Linked DNA regions of Callithrix jacchus. The protein of the gene in region 1 purifies or fractionates together with the protein of each later gene. This does not show direct contact. Links are inferred from orthologs where the notes say so. Each region holds a gene or a part of one and is shown in the gene's direction. Other genes may lie near its edges.

Region 1 (4,363 bases):
TGTCTCCAATTACAGGTAACGAAGGCCCTAGTGCTCAGATACCATCCTCTCAGCTCCTGCCTTACAACCCAGGTATGTTCTTTCTGGAGACAGGAGAACCCAGGACTTAAACAAACTTTCTTGATAATTCTATTCCTCCCAAAGACGTCTATCCTCGTGTGTGTGTGTGTGTGTGTATTTTGGGTTTTTTTGAGATGGGCTCACACACAGTTGCCCAGGCTGGGGTGCAGTGGGGTGATCACAGCCCACTGCAACCTCATCTGCTGTAGGCTCAGGTGATCCTCCCACCTCAGCCTCCCAAGTAGCTGGGATGTAGGCACACCCCACCACACCCAGCTAATTTTTGTGAGAACAGGGTTTAGCCATGTTGCCCAGACTCCTAGGCTCAAGCAATCCACCTGCCTTGGCCTCCAAAAAGTGCTAAGATTACAAGGGTAAGCCAACACACCCAGCCCCATCCTCGTCTTTGACACTTCTTCCCTGATGTACCTCAAAGGCTCTCTTTTCTCCAGCTCATGGGCCTCCTGAGTGACCCAGAATTAGGTCCAGCAGCAGCTGATGGCTTCTCTCTGCTCATGTCTGACTGCACTGATGTGTTGACTCGTGCTGGCCATGCTGAAGTGCGGATCATGTTCCGCCAGCGCTTCTTCACAGATAATGTGCCTGCTTTGGTCCAGGGCTTCCATGCTGCTCCCCAAGGTGAGGAGTCTGAAAGAAAGGCCCCACACATACACACCTCTCCTTTGCTTGTCCACATTACCCGATAACTTAGGACCTGCTTGCTTCTTTAGAGCTATATTGTGGTCTGTGCCTAGGAGACTGAACTTCTAGATTCTTGTCCCACTTCTTCCTTTGTGGGTGTATCTTGTTTATTCTAAACATGAAGGGCTTTTCACCCCTTTGTAGGCTGATGTCTCAACCTCATCACAGATCGGAATTGAATTCTCAAGCTATGTATCTAAGCCCAATTTCTCTCCTAAGCTTTCCCATTTTTTTACAGGTGTGAAGCCAAACTACTTGAAGGGTCTTTCTCATGTACTTAACAGGCTGCCCAAGCCTGTGCTCTTGCCAGAGCTGCCCACAGTAAGTCCTGCAGGTAGAACCTCTAAGCGAAGGACAATTCTTTCCCAGATGGGGCTAGAAAGGGAGGGTACAAGAACCAGGATCTGCATGATGTGGCCATCCCACACCTTGCCCATTGCCCCTTAGCTTCTTTCCTTGCTGCTGGAGGCCCTGTCCTGCCCTGACTGTGTGGTACAGCTCTCTACCCTCAGCTGCCTTCAGCCTCTTCTACTGGAAGCACCCCAAGTCATGAGTCTTCACGTGGACACTCTCGTCACCAAGTTTCTGAACCTCACCTCTAGCCCTTCCATGGTATGTTGAGCCCCAGCAACTCTCAGGAACCAGCAGCTCTCCCTGGGTCTGCTCTCACCTCCTTGTGGTTGTGTTCCAGGCCGTCCGGATCGCCGCACTGCAGTGCATGCATGCTCTCACTCGCTTGCCCACCCCTGTGGTAAGTACCTCAGGTGCCCCTCTCTGGCCTGGGACCGTCTCAAGAGACAGATAAATACCTTTTTGCCTTAGTCGAGTGGGCTTGGCTGTTTCAATTACACCCTGCTGTGTAATTGAGATCTGAATTACAAGGTACAGATAAGCAAGGATTCTTTTCCTTGGGCCCAGAAGGTAACAGAATGGCCATCCCTTGGAATCACTAAAGATGTTTCAGTTTCCTCAGAATATTAGTTGTACAGAATCAAAAAAGGGGCACTTTCAGTTGCCTTGGATGAGCAAGGTTGATTATATCCTCTGACTCCACAGCTGCTGCCATACAAACCACAGGTGATCCGAGCCTTAGCCAAACCCTTGGATGACAAGAAGAGACTGGTGCGCAAGGAAGCAGTGTCAGCCAGAGGGGAGTGGTGAGTTTCTAGGCCATGGGGAGAAATGGGACCGAGATGAGCCTTACCACTAATGCTGCCAACTTTCTTTTTGCCTACAGGTTTCTGTTGGGGAGCCCTGGCAGCTGAGCTGTCAGTCCTGGCCTAGACTGTTCTGACAATCTAACCTGGAATTACTAACTATGGAGCCATCATCCCCAAAGCAGGGAAACTGCTGGCCTCTGCCTGCCTTTCCTACAGACACAGCACAAATGCTAGGCTTCTGTTGCATGGAGCATAAGGTCCAGATTTCTAGTGGATTTGTGCATTAACTGTGAGACACTTGTGTTTGAAGAAAGATCTAGGGTCTTGGGTCTCTTGCATTTGTATGTCAGAGAAGGGGTAATATGCTGCTGAGGGGTGAGTGCATATGACTGTGGCCCTGAGGACCAGGGGTGGTGGCTGTGTGTGCACCTGCTGAAGAATAAAGATGTCTTTTGGTAATGGGACTGTCAGACATTTCCCCCACCCAACATATGCCTCGTAGAACCAGAGGCATTACTAAACTAAGCTGGAAGAACAATGATGACAGGGACTGGCCAAAAATTTTTCAGGGTAACCAACAAAGTAGCTCATGCCTGTAACCCCAACACTTTAGGAGACTGAAGCAGGAGGATTGCTTGAGGCAGGGAGTTTGAGACTGGTCCTGGGCAATATAGCAAGAACCCATCTCCACAAATAATTTAAAAAATTCGGCTGGGCATGGTGGCTTACGCCTGTAATCCCAGCATTTTGGGAGGCCAAGGGGGGTGGATCACTGGAGGTCAGGAGTTCAATACTGGGCAACTTGGTTAAACCCCATGTCTACTAAAAATGCAAAAATTAACCAGGTGTGGTGGCACACGCCTTTACTTGGGAGGCTGAGGCACAAGAATCGCTTCAACCTGGGAGGCGGAGGTTGCAGTGAGTTGAGATCATGCCAAAGTGTAAGAGGCATGACCAGAATACCTACTCACTAGGTCTTGACACTGATTTTCCCCTTCCCCACCCTATTGTGAGGCAGAGTGAGGAGCTACATACCTTTAAAAATCGAATGCCTTTATTTTTTGCTCCCTTCAGCAGCATGTGAGAAGTGGCAGTGACCTCAGCAGCAGGCCTGGTATCTTTGTCCTGTTGAGAAGCCAGGATCTCAGCTGTACTAGTCAGGTATTTTTTCAGACAGCAAGTAGAGGTGGTGGCCAACTCCAATGCTGTATCCTGGAGGAGGTCTGGGTCAGCACTGGGTAAGGTAGGTAGCTAGCTGCCTGACCCCTAGTCTGGGGCTGGAACTTCTGTTTGCCTGAGTAAAGGGATGTCAGTCCTAAGATTTATCCACATTGTGTCTTGCTTCTGCAGTGGTGAAAAGGCTGGTCCTTGAATTGTCCTGCATGGTACCCTAAGGCAGGCCCACTGGCTCTTTTTGATCAAGGATTCCAAGAAAAGCTGCCCTTGGAGGCCCTTAAAATAACATAGGAAGCAGAATGAGTGCTCGAGTTGTGGCTGACACAATCTAGCTCACACTGCCATCACAGAGGCTGAGTGAGCAGTCACCCAGGGAGGGGGCTCCCAGCTCATTCCATTCCCATGGGGCAGGTGACTAGAAGGTAAGAGCACCCGAGTAAGCCAATGCCTAGAAGAGAAGAGAGAAATCTGTCTGAGTTCCAAGAATTCTTGGTCCTTAATCATTCCCTGGCAAGCATACATCAAGGTATCCTGAAGCTACCTCGGTGTCAATCATGAAGGTAACAAAAGTTCTAATTTCTTCTATCCAATTTTATCCAACAAATTGTACCTTCTGGTGCCTTGAAGGCCTGTTGAGGTTTCATGCTAAACTTCTAAAGGGCCACTGTAAGCACAGTGATAGGAGGAGTGTCACATGCATGGGAAAGGGAGGAGGGAAGGCACGTCCACTCATCTGATTGTTAATGCCTCAGTAACCGCCATTTGAAAAACTGTTTCCCCTTGTCTTGGGCTGAGCGAGCTAGCTCCAATTACTGTCTTAGGGCCTCTGTCACAAATAGGTTATTTTAATCTCACAAATTATTGGCTTGAACTCTACACACTGCTCACCAAGTGAGAGGTGATTGGTGGCCAATGCATCCTACACCCAAAGGCCCCTTCCTGAGCACAGCTTTCCTAGGATTCTACTGTAGTCATGTTGAAGCCTCATCGGTTACTTACAACTACAGTGTTAGCCTCAAGCCTCTCTGGCTCACATGAACAATGATCTCTCTTCCTAGAGTCTAGAACTGCACTAACACCGTAGCCACTAGTCATAGTCCAAGTGCTCACAGGTATAAAACATCTTCCTTATCACAGCGTTCTGTTGGATGGCATTAGTCTAAGTGTTTTACGTTACCTTCCTGTATCCACACCCAGGAATACCTTCCAGTTGTCCAAGCAGCCATAGTTGTAAGGATTCCTAAATACCTGGAGCCAAGAAAAAA
Region 2 (5,704 bases), on another chromosome or scaffold:
TTGTGTGAGAGCCATGACCTGTGTACTTGCTTGTATCTGCTCAGCTTGCTACACGGACGTCCCAAAGATCATTTATGCCTCCAGGACCCACTCACAACTCACCCAGGTCATCAGCGAGCTTCGGAACACCTCCTACCGGTGGGTCAGGCGAGTTCACACCTGTCTCAGGGTCATTGAGAGAACCCAACTTGGCATGGTGCAGGGTACACAGCCCATGCTGTGTAGTGGTGGAGAGTGGTGGTCTTTCTAGACGCTCCCCAGGAGTGTGCAGTGTGCTGGTGCCCAGGGGTAGGCTGGGGCCTGGGCTGCCTCCAGTACCTGTGACTGGTGAGAAATTAGCTTTGCATTTGTGTGCTGACTTTGGGCTGGTGTCTTGAGCTCCTTGCAGGCGGTGGGTGCTGTGGCAGTTGTGGGGCAGGGCCAGACTGCAGTGCAGCTTTGCACATGAAGTGGGAAGAGGCCCTGCCGCTTGTCAGAGCCCAGCAGAGTCTGGTATTCTGTCCTGGTTCCTGTGGCAGGACCGATGGCAGGGTGCTATGGAAGTTGTCGAGTCTTGACCCTCTGTCCAGGCCCCCCCCACTGTCTTCTTGCTCCCTCCCATGCCTGGGCCACGTTGCAGTTATGCTCGCTTCCTCTGGCCACTGAGGCACTTTTGTGTCCTCATACAGCTCACGCTGTGGGAACACTCTGTGACTGTTAGAGGCAGCTCCTCCTCGACCCACGTGCCCTCTCCCACCAGGCCTGAGGGTGTGCTGGGCTCCCACGCATGTGCCCTCTCCCACCAGGCCTGAGGGGTGTGTGCTGGTCTCCCACCCATGTGCCCTCTCCCATCAGGCCTAAGGTGTGTGTGCTGGGCTCCCGGGAGCAGCTGTGCATCCACCCTGAAGTGAAGAAGCAGGAGAGTAACCACATGCAGGTGGGTTCCTGGGCTCCTGTGGTTCAGGATTCCGTGAGGCGAGTGCTGCTGGGTGTCCAGAGCCCCAGGATCTGCTCCCTCTGGGATAGGGTTTGAAGTACACCCGGGGGACTGCAGGGGAGGACCTGGTGGGTGGAGGCTGATTCGGTTCCTTTCTTGGCCGGGCTCTAGCCTCGCACTTTGCCCTTCCTCCCTCAGATCCACTTGTGTCGAAAGAAGGTGGCAAGTCACTCCTGTCATTTCTACAACAACGTAGAAGGTACAAGCAGCTCGTTGCGGCCGGGGTTGGGTTGGAGTGTGTGAGTCTCTCAGGCGGAGCTTGGTGGGGCCGGAGCTGGTGGGACCAGGGTTGGTAGGACCAGGGTCGGTGGGACCAGGGTGGGGTTCAAGTGTGTGAATCTCTCAGGGCAGAGCTCTGTGGTGTCACAGCCTGGTCGTGCTTGCCTGGTGGGATGGCCAGTGCAGTCGTGTACCTGGGCCCTGTCTTCTGACTCGAGGCCTCTGTGATAGGCTCCTGTGTGGAAGAGCTCACACAGTGGTCCAAGACAGCCAGCCGGCAAGACTGGTTGGTGCCTGGGGTCATGGGTTTTGCAAAGGCTCCCTCCGTTTCCTGATGAGGGGCTTCCTGCATCTAAAGTGTTGGTGCAAACAGTAGGGTTTTGCTGAATACCTTCTTTCTCTTCGGGGAGCCTGGGATTTTGTTGCTTGCCCGGCAGTGGGTGCTCCTGGGACTGGCCCTCATACCATTCTGGGAGGGGTCTTGGAAGCTGTGTCTGACCTCCCCCGACCCTGCCCCATGTGTCTTTTTCCTGTGCTGACCTTGCTGTGTACTCCCTTGCTGCGAATAATTACAGCCCCAAGTGTGACTCCAGGCTGAGTCCTGTGGGTCCCACACAGGAGGCCCCGGGGCTTCTTCCAGAGACAGGACGAGTGAGTGAAAGTTATCTACCCGGGGCAGCCACAGCCTGTCAGAGGCCAGGGGTGCTTTTCCACCCACGTGGCTGCTCCTCTGGTGTGTTGGGCTTCTGAGGCTCATCTCAGGGTCCCAGAGGCAGTGGCAGGGTGAGCCCCTGTCTGGTGCCCTTGGTGTTTTCTGTGACCTGAGGTGTCATGTCTGCAGTCGCTGGGGCCTGGGCTTCTGTGGGATCAGGGTTCCCTGTTCCCTGCCTCGGTGGGGCTCGAGCCTCGGCTGATGTGGCCCTGCAGCGTAGAAGGCGGCAGTGGTCCTGTAGGCTGCTGTCTGCAGGATGCTTGTCGAGTGCTCAGTGTGCCAGGACTGAGGACCCTGAAGCTGCCGTGGCATCTAGGACAGTGCTCCCCTGCCAGGGGCGCAGCTGGCTGGTCCCTCGTGACCCACCACCAGGCATTTCTGGACCCTGCCCCTTGAAAAGACAGAGTGGATGGAACCTGGCCCTGCAGGGAGCCCCACTTGCTGAGGTGTGTTCTGTGTAGCTTTCTTCTTTGTTGGTTTTTTGGTCTGGTGACACCGAAGCCCCCAGTCACCTTGATGTGTGGTTGTCCAGGCCTTTCTGGTGGTCCTGAGAAGGGGCTCTGTATCTGAGCCCCAGGTTCCCTGACGGGAGCTGCACGCTTCTCTCAGCAATGCCTGTGGGAGGTGACTCTGGGACGGACAGGCAGATGTGTTGTTGGAAATTGTCAACAGTTGTCATTTCCAAGTTCCTCGCCCGGATAGGACAGGAACGCCTTCTGGGTGTCCCTAGGCCCATGCAGCGGGGTCCTTGGGATAGTGTGGAACGCTGACCATAGGCCTGGCCTGCCATGGTCCTGGACTAGGGCAGTGCCCTATGGCTGCTGGACTTGCTCCCTGGTGAGAGTAGTTGACTGCCTCCTGGTTCTGCTTCCATGGGTGTCAGGCCTATGGGTGTTGAGTCCCCCCTCTTTCTCCTCCCCCAGCCTGTGAGCTCAGTCCAAGAAGACACAGACCAGCCCCCAGCCTGTCTCCCTTGGCTTGGGCTCTCATTGCCTGACCTGCTGGGGTTGCCTAGCTGTGAACCTTGGTGTCCTGTCTGCCCCCTGGATGGGCTGTGAGGGTGGTGTCTGCAGCAGCTGCACAGGCCTGGGCATCTTTGGAGTGGGCTGCAGCTCCAGGAGGGACATGAGAGGAAGGGAGGCAGGTATTTTGGACGAACAAGGAGACAGCTGGAGAGCCTCTGGGACACCCCTGCCCCTCGTCCCCTTCCCCTCGCAGCTCCTGTCCTCGCCCCACCCTCAGCTCTCCACCCGGGAAGGGCTGGAAAGTGCCCATGTGTTGCAGCGCATGCTGATTGGCTGGCCTGTTGCTATGGTGCTGCTAAGGAGTGTGCTTTTCCTCCCCTGCCTTCCCTGCTATCCCTGGGGGCATGTGGGGTTGGGTCATCGCTGGTGTGTAGATGTGTGTGTATGTGTGCGTGCACGTGTGTGTGTGCGCGTGTGTGCGTGCATGCTTCTGGCCTCTGCAGCTGAGTCCTGGGTTGAGTCATCTCTGGGGTGTGTGTATGTGCGTGTGTGCGTGTATGTGTGTACACACTTGCTTCTGGCCTCTGCAGCTGAGTCCTGGCCCTCAGGGGACCTGGCATCTGCTGGGGACTGGCACAAAATAACCATGATGGAGTCGGGAGCTGGGGGAGGCTCCACGGCCACATGTGACTGCCCTAAGACTCTGGGATGCTTGTTAGAAGAGGTCCCTGGTCCTGTCTGTGTTTAAGCAGCTCCTTAAGGAATTCTTGTGGTTCCAGTTTGGGAGCCTGTGCTGTGGAGGCAAGGGAGGGGCAGGCCATCCCCCAAACTCCCTGAGATCTTTTCTGCCCTGGGCCTCTCAGCCAGCATAGGCAGTGCCCTTTCTCATGGCTGCCATGCTGCGGGGGTGGGGGTGGGGCACTGTTTAACACAGGAAAACCTGGTTCTTTTTTAGCTGGAAGTTCTGGGTCTGTTGTGGTTGGCAGGGAAGCTGAGTGACTGGCTGTAATCGCAAGGGTTTGTGAGAGACACCTCTGTGAGCTGGGGCAATAGGCTGAGGGGCTGTCCTTTCCTGCCCTGAGGAGGGCTGGGTATGGCCACCACTCCTGTACTATCTTGAGTTGTCTTGGAGAGGATGTGGAGAACCCTCGGGACCCTGCTGGCCTCTGTTGGATCCACCCTCAGCCTCAGACTGCCTTCTAGGGCAGAGGAGGACTCCCTTGGGATCACTTTGGGTGGGGGCCTCCCTTGGGCACCTGAGACCCTCAGTGGGTGCTTTGTGGCATGTTCCCGGTTGTGGGAGAACGCCCAGCCCTGCCCACTGTGTAGGAGCTGTTCTGTCCTGGGCATCCCCTTGTGGTCTGGGAGACTTAGCGGACCCTGAGGGTATGTGTTTACCCCTGCCTCACACCTACAGAGAAGAGCCTGGAGCAGGAGCTGACCAGCCCCATCCTGGACATCGAGGACTTGGTCAAGAGCGGAAGCAGGCACAGGTGAGACCCGTCAGTGAGGCCACACCCACCATGTCCTTCCACGGCCCAGCTCTCCTGTGGCCTGCTGAACCCCCAATATGTTTCTTTCTTTTTAAATTATGAAACTAACAACCATTCAGTATGAAAAAGTTTCAGCAGCCCTGAGGAACGTAAGTAAAAAGCAAAACTGCCTCCCTAGTCCCTGGCCCTCAGCCACCCCAGATGGCCACTGTGGCCCCTGTGTCTGCTGTGGAGGCTTTGTCTGCCATTTTCCGTTTTCACAGCATTGTGAATAGCTTCTCACACTGGTGCTGGTAGCTTGGCCTCGTTCTTTTGAGGACAGCAGATATGTCCGACATCAATAGATTATAGCTTCAGAGATTCAAGTTGTAATAAAGCTTTTCTTATATTTAGGGTGAAAAGCTCCCCTCCCCCCTTTTTTTGTGAGACAGAGTCTAGCTCTGTTTCCTAGGCTGGAGTGCAGAGTCGGGATCTCGGCCCACTGCAGCCTCAACCTCCCAGGCTCAAGCGATTCTCCCAGCTGAGCCTCCCAAGTAGCAGGGACTACAGGCACGCACCACCATTCCTGGTTAATTTTTGTATTTTTTGTACAGACAGGGTCTCACTGTGTTGCCCAGGCCAGTCTCAAACTCCTGAGCTCAAGATACCTGCCCACCTTCGCCTCCCAAAGTGATGGGATTACAGGCGTGAGCCACTGCACCTTACCAGCTCTGCTTTTTTTTTAGTGCTTCTGTGTTGTGTTTGTTTCTGATGACCTCTATTCGGGAATAGGGTTGTTTTTTCTTTTCCATTGAGTTTTTGTTGTTGTTGTTTTTATAGAGACAGGGTTTCACCATGTTGGTCAGGCTGGTCTTGAATTCCCCACCTCAGGTGATCCACCCGCCTGGGCCTCCCAAAGTGCTTGGATTACAGGCATGAGCCACCGTGCCTGACCCTTCCATTGAGTTTTTAAAAAGACGATGATTCACATGGTTGGAAACTGATATGTACTCCCCATCCATCCCAGACAGCAGCTTCCCATCTGGGCTCCCACGTGCAGGATAAGGCTTCTTCCTGGTCAGAAGCCATGGCGGCCCCGCCCTCGGGTCATCCTCTGCACGGGGCGCTCACAGCACCCTCCCTGCTCTCCCCTCCAGGGTGTGCCCTTACTACCTGTCCCGGAACCTGAAGCAGCAGGCTGACATCATCTTCATGCCGTACAATTACTTGTTGGATGCCAAGGTGGGGGCTCAGTCTGTGCATCTGGTGACTCCTGATGTCCAGTGGGTATCTATCTCTGGGCTTAGGACAGGCCATCCGAGCCTTGCGGGTTCAGGGCCTCAGAGCAGCAGGCGTGGGC
Region 3 (5,704 bases), about 28 Mb from region 1:
AGAGATGGGGTTTTACCATGTTGGCCAGGATGGTCTCGATCTCCTGACCTTGTGATCCACAGGCCTTGGCCACCCAAAGTTCTGTGATTACAGGCGTGAGCCACTGTGCCTGGCCGTTTTTGTTTTTTGTTTTGTTTTGTTCTTTTTTTTTTTTTAGAGAAGGGGTCTTGCTATGTGGCCCAGGCTGGTCTTGAACTCTTGGCCTCAAGCAGTCTTCCAACCTTGACCACCCAAAGTGCTTGTATTACACCTGCAAGCCACTGTGCTGCGGCTAATTTTTTATTTTATTTTATTTTACATTATTATAGAGACAGAGTCTTGCTATTGCCCAGGCTAGTCTTAAACTCCTGGGCTCAAGTGATCCTCCCACCTTGGTCTCCCAAAGTGCGGAGATTATAGGTATAAGCCACTACCTCACCTAGAATTTGGTATATCTTTGCATAGTATTTTTTTTTATGTAAAATTTCATTTCTTTAGCTTATTTTTTCTTTGTAGAATGAATATTAATGATGTGACTTTAGAAATAATTGGATCATTATTTACCTAATAATGACTTTAATACAAGGAAACATTGCAGTTGAAAAAGTTTATATATATATAATTATAGACTGCATATGTATAGTGAGTTTACTATATACATGTAAAATTTATGTAAAATGTAATTGCTTTAGCTTTTTTAACCTTAGGCCCTTTATAGTATGTAAAACTTTTTTTTTTTGACAGAGTCTTGCTCAGTCACCCAGGTGGGAGTGTCTTGGTTCATTGCTGCCTCCACCTCCCAGGTTACAGTAATTCTCATGCCTCAGCCTCCCAAGAAGCTAGGATTACAGGCGCATGCCACCATACCCAGCTAATTTTTGTATTTTTAGTAGAGACAGGGTTTCGCCATGTTGGCCAAGCTGATCTGGAACTCCTGACCTTGTGATTACACTCACCCAGCCAAAATTTTTTTTAATGTAAAAATTGCTTTAGTTTCACTTTTTTTCTTTCCAGAATGAATATTAATGACATGACTTTAGAAATAATTGGATCATTAGTTCTCCAATATTAGACTTTAACAGAAGATAACATTGCTATGGAGTAAGTTTATTTAATTGTAGTTAGACTGCATAAGGTGTAGTGAATCTGTCATACCTACGTAAATACCAATAAGCCTCTGAGATTGCATGTTATTTTGTAGTAGTGCCAGAGAGGTTTTAAAATGTTTAATACTCATTTCTTTTTCTTTTTTTTTCTTTTGAGATGGAATTTCACTCTTGTTGCCCAAACTGGAGTGCAGTGGCACGATCTCGGCTCACTGCAATCTCTGCCTCCTGGGTTCAAGTGATTCTCCTCCTTCATCCTCCCAAGTAACTGGGATTACCGGCATGTGACAGCACACCTGGTTAATTTTTTGTATTTTTAGTAGAAACGGGATTTCACCATGTTAGCCAGACTGGTCTCAAACTCCTGACCTCAGGTGATTTGCCCACTTTGGCCTCCCAAAGTGCGGAGATTACAGGTGTGAGCCACCACACCTGGCCTTTTATACTCATTTAGAAGCAGTGGAATTATCAGTTTGCTTGTCATTATTATAAATCTTATTGTAAATATTAAAGAAATATGTTATAATTTTTAAAAATTTCACATTTAGGAGCAGGTTATTATGGTTTGTTTTCTGTAATGTTATATGTATCAGCTTAAAAGGTGGGGGTATCTATCTTTCAGGGATCAAAGTGGCAACAAAACACCTTGTTCAGAGATCCCAGCCCGTGGGTACATCAGGAGTGGGGTGCTCCCTAGCATTTTCCTACAAGACTGTAAAATTGCTTTAGTTTCAACAACAGTTGAGCAATACATTAAAAACTAATGATAGGGCAAGCATGGTGGCTCAGGCTTGTAATCCCAGCACTTTGGGAGGCTGAGGCGGGTGGGTCACTTAAGGCCAGGAGTTCAAAACCCACCTGGTCAACATGGTGAAACCCTGTCTCTACTAAAATTACAAAATACTAGCTTGGCATGGTGGCATACGCTTGTAATCCTAGCTACTTGGAAGTCTGCAGCATGAGAATTAGTTGACCCGGAGGGGTTGGAGGTTGTTTCCAAAAGCCCAAAACTGATAGAATGTTTACTTAACATTTCTAACACTTTATTGAAGGTTGTGGAAAATGTAAAAATGACAGGCTCAGTATTAGTTTTTAGGGCTCAGATGAACGAGTAAGTTCATCTGAAAATGCAAGCACAATACTTACATATGTACAAGGAAAATACAAGGACAATACTTACATATGTAACATAAACGGAAGCTTTTTCTCTTTGGTCTTTTTCATAGGGAGAAGGGTGGCAGTTGCATTGGAAACTTGATTCGAATGGAACATGTAAAGACAGTTTGTGATGGACAGTATTTACATAATTTCCAACATAAAAATGGTGCCATACCTGTCACAAATCTAATGGCAGGTGACAGAATTATTGTGAGTGGAGAAGAAAGATCACTATTTGCTTTGTGTAGAGGATATGTGAAGGAGGTTAACATGACAACAGTAACTTGTTTATTAGACAGGTAATGAAATGTTACTTTTTTTTGTAACAGCTTTATTGATGTATAACTCATATCTGTGTAGTTCATTATTTAAAGTGCAATTTAGTGGTTTTTAGTATATTCACAGAGTTGTGCAGCCATCACCACAATCAATTTTTAGCATTTTCGTCACCCCAAAACGAACCCCCAAGAAAGAAGCCCTATACCCTTTAGTAGTCACTTCTCATTTTCCTCCAATTCCCTCAGCCCAAGGCAACCACTAACCTACTTTCTGTCTCTGTAGATTTGCCCACTCTGGGCATTTCATATAAATAGAATCATGCAATATGTGGTCTTTGATGACTGGCTTTTTTCACGCAGCATGCTGTTTTTGAAATTCGTCTTCACGTTGTAACTTACGTATCAGCATTTTATTCCTTTTTTAAAATAAATTTGCTGGGTGCAGTGGCTCAAGCCTGTAATCCCAGCACTTTGGGAGGCTGCGGTGGGTAGATCACCTAAGGTCAGGAGTTCAAGACCAGCTTGGCCAACATGGTGAAACCCCATCACTACTAAAAATATAAAATTAGCTGGGCGTGGTGGTGGATGCCTGTAATCCCAGCTGCTTGGGAGGCTGAGGCAAGAGAATCGCTTGAACCCAGGAGATGGAGATTGCAGTGAGCCAAGATCGTGCCATTCCATTCTAGCCTGAGTAATAAGAGCGAAACTCTGTCTCAAAAAAAAAATAAATATATAACATAAAATTGATCATTAACCATTTTATTTATTTATTTATTTATTTATTTATTTGAGGTTGGAATGAAAGTTCTTTTTTTTTTCTTTTTTTTTTTTGAGACGGAGTTTTTTTCTTGTTACCCAGGCTGGAGTGCAATGGCGCAATCTCGGCTCATCGCAACCTCCGCCTCCTGGGTTCAGGCAATTCTCCTGCCTCAGCCTCCTGAGTGGCTGGGATTACAGGCACGCGGCACCACGCCCAGCTAATTTTTTGTATTTTTAGTAGAGACGGGGTTTCACCATGTTGACCAGGATGGTCTTGATCTCTTGACCTCGTGATACACCCGCCTTGGCCTCCCAAAGTGCTGGGATTACAGGCATGAGCCACTGCACCCAGCTTTTTTTTTCTCTTTTTGAATTTTATTTTACTTTAAGTTTGGGGGTATGTGTACTGAACATGCCAGTTTGTTACATAGTAATACATGTGCCATGGTGGTTTGCTGCATCCATCACCCCTTCATCTACATTAGGTATTTCTCCTAATGCTATACCTCCCCTATCCCCCTACCCCCTGCTATTCCTCCCCTAGCACCCACCCTCTGAACGGCCTTGATGTGTGATGTTCCCTCCCCTGTGTCCATGTGTTCTCATTGTTCACCACCCACTTATGAGTGAGGACATGCAGTCTTTGTTTTTCTGTTCTTGTGTCGGTTTGCTGAGAATGATGGTTTCCAGTTTTATCCATGTCCCTGCCAAGGACATGAACTCATCCTTTTTCATGGCCGCATATTATTCCATGGTGTGTATGTGCCATATTTTCTTTATCCAGTCTCTCATTGATGGGCATTTGGGTTGGTTCCAAGTCTTTGCTATTGTGAACAGTCCTGTAATAAACGTGTGCATATGTCTTTATAATAGAGTGATTTATAATCCTTTTGGTGTCTACCCAGTAATGGGATTGCTGGGTCAAATGGTATTCCTGTTTCTAGATCCTTGAGGAATCACCACAGTCTTCCACAATGGTTGAACTAATTTACACTCCCACCAACAGTGTAAAAGTGTTTCTATTTCTCCACATCCTCTCTAGCATCTGTCTCCTGAATTTTTTTTTTTTTGAGACAGAATCTTGCTGTGTTGCCCAGGCTGAAGTGCAATGGCTCACTGCAACCTCTGCCTCCTGGGTTCAAGCGATTCTCCTCCCTCAGCCTCCTGATAGCTGGGATTACAGGCGCCTGCCACTGTACCCAGCTAATTTTTTGTATTTTTAGTAGAGATGGGGTTTCACTGTGTTGGCCAGGATGGTCTTGATCTGACCTCGTGATCTGCCTGCCTTGGCCTCCCAAAGTGCTGGGATTACAGGCATGAGCCACCATGCCCAGCTGTCTCCTGATTTTTTAACGATTGCCATTCTAACTGGAGTGAGATGGTATCTCAATGTGATTTTGATTTGCATTTCTCTAATGACCAGTGATAATGAGCTTCTGCCCCCACCCCCCTATCCTAGCTACTCAAGAGGCTGAGGCAGGAGAATTGCTTGAATCTGGGAAGTGGAGATTGAAGTGAGCCAAGATCATGTCATTGCACTCCAGCCTGGGCAACAAGAGCAAAACTCTGTCTCAAAAAATAAAAAAAAAAAAAGTATATAACATACAATTGATCATTAACCATTTTAATGTATATAATTGGTGTTTAGTGTATTCCCAATATTGTGCAACCATCACTTCCCTCTATTTCTAAGACACGTTTATCACCCTAAAAGGAAACGTCATTCCTATCCCCTCTCTCCTCCCTCAACTCCCTGGCAACTACTAATTGGCTTTCTTTCTGTATGGATTCATCTATTCTGGATATATGATATAAGTAGAACCATTCATTATGTGACCTTTTGTGTCTGGCTTCTTTCACTTAGCCTAATGTTTGCAAGGTTCATTCACGTTTCAGCATATATGAGACCCTCATTTTTTTATGGCTGAATGTATTCTGTTGTATGGATAGACCACATTTTGTTCATCCATTCATTGGCTGGCTGATGGACATTTGAGTTGTTTCCACTTTTTTGCTGTAATGAGTAATATTGCATTACATTGCATGAACATTCACATGCATAGTTTTAGGTGGCCATAGTTTCATTTCTTTCATTTTCTTTGTAGTTACCTAGGCATGGGTCATGTGCTAATTTCATATTTAACATTTTGGTGAACTACCAAACTGCTAAAGTTTTGTTTAGTACGTTATGTTCCATAGTGCTGATGTGGACAGAATCTTACCTAATTCTCAAAACCACATGTATAGCAGACAGCATAGATACCACCCTGTGTTAGCTATAATCCTTATTTCTCCTTAGCATGCTGGGCACTTACTATTTTGTTCTCTTCTTATTTATTTATTTATTTGGCTGGGTGCGGTGGCTCACGCCTGTAATCCCAGCACTTTGGGAGGTCGAGGCAGGCAGATCATGAGGTCAGGAGC

The links. Proteins that work in one complex are often made in the same cells at the same time.
Region 2: the proteins of MMS19 (region 1) and RTEL1 purify together in Homo sapiens (affinity purification with western blotting; 4 studies listed by BioGRID and IntAct, with this or other methods). This does not show direct contact. The link is inferred for Callithrix jacchus from reciprocal best matches to the Homo sapiens genes MMS19 and RTEL1.
Region 3: the proteins of MMS19 (region 1) and DNA2 purify together in Homo sapiens (affinity purification with mass spectrometry; 3 studies listed by BioGRID and IntAct, counting the BioPlex papers as one, with this or other methods). This does not show direct contact. The link is inferred for Callithrix jacchus from reciprocal best matches to the Homo sapiens genes MMS19 and DNA2.

What each region holds. Positions count from the first base shown.
Region 1 is NC_133513.1:90,278,449-90,282,811, reverse strand, and holds the end of MMS19 (MMS19 nucleotide excision repair protein homolog), read left to right. Parts: intron 1-15; coding exon 16-72; intron 73-512; coding exon 513-699; intron 700-1,000; coding exon 1,001-1,083; intron 1,084-1,209; coding exon 1,210-1,374; intron 1,375-1,453; coding exon 1,454-1,513; intron 1,514-1,818; coding exon 1,819-1,919; intron 1,920-1,999; coding exon 2,000-2,027; 3' UTR 2,028-2,381; downstream 2,382-4,363. Other genes in the region: palmitoyltransferase ZDHHC16, read right to left, coding at 3,432-3,546, 4,276-4,346. UniProt on the Homo sapiens protein: Key component of the cytosolic iron-sulfur protein assembly (CIA) complex, a multiprotein complex that mediates the incorporation of iron-sulfur cluster into apoproteins specifically involved in DNA metabolism and genomic integrity.
Region 2 is NC_133506.1:59,155,913-59,161,616, forward strand, and holds part of RTEL1 (regulator of telomere elongation helicase 1), read left to right. Parts: intron 1-44; coding exon 45-138; intron 139-834; coding exon 835-916; intron 917-1,114; coding exon 1,115-1,175; intron 1,176-4,289; coding exon 4,290-4,365; intron 4,366-5,501; coding exon 5,502-5,586; intron 5,587-5,704. UniProt on the Homo sapiens protein: A probable ATP-dependent DNA helicase implicated in telomere-length regulation, DNA repair and the maintenance of genomic stability. Acts as an anti-recombinase to counteract toxic recombination and limit crossover during meiosis.
Region 3 is NC_133513.1:61,979,323-61,985,026, forward strand, and holds part of DNA2 (DNA replication ATP-dependent helicase/nuclease DNA2), read left to right. Parts: intron 1-2,311; coding exon 2,312-2,542; intron 2,543-5,704. UniProt on the Homo sapiens protein: Key enzyme involved in DNA replication and DNA repair in nucleus and mitochondrion.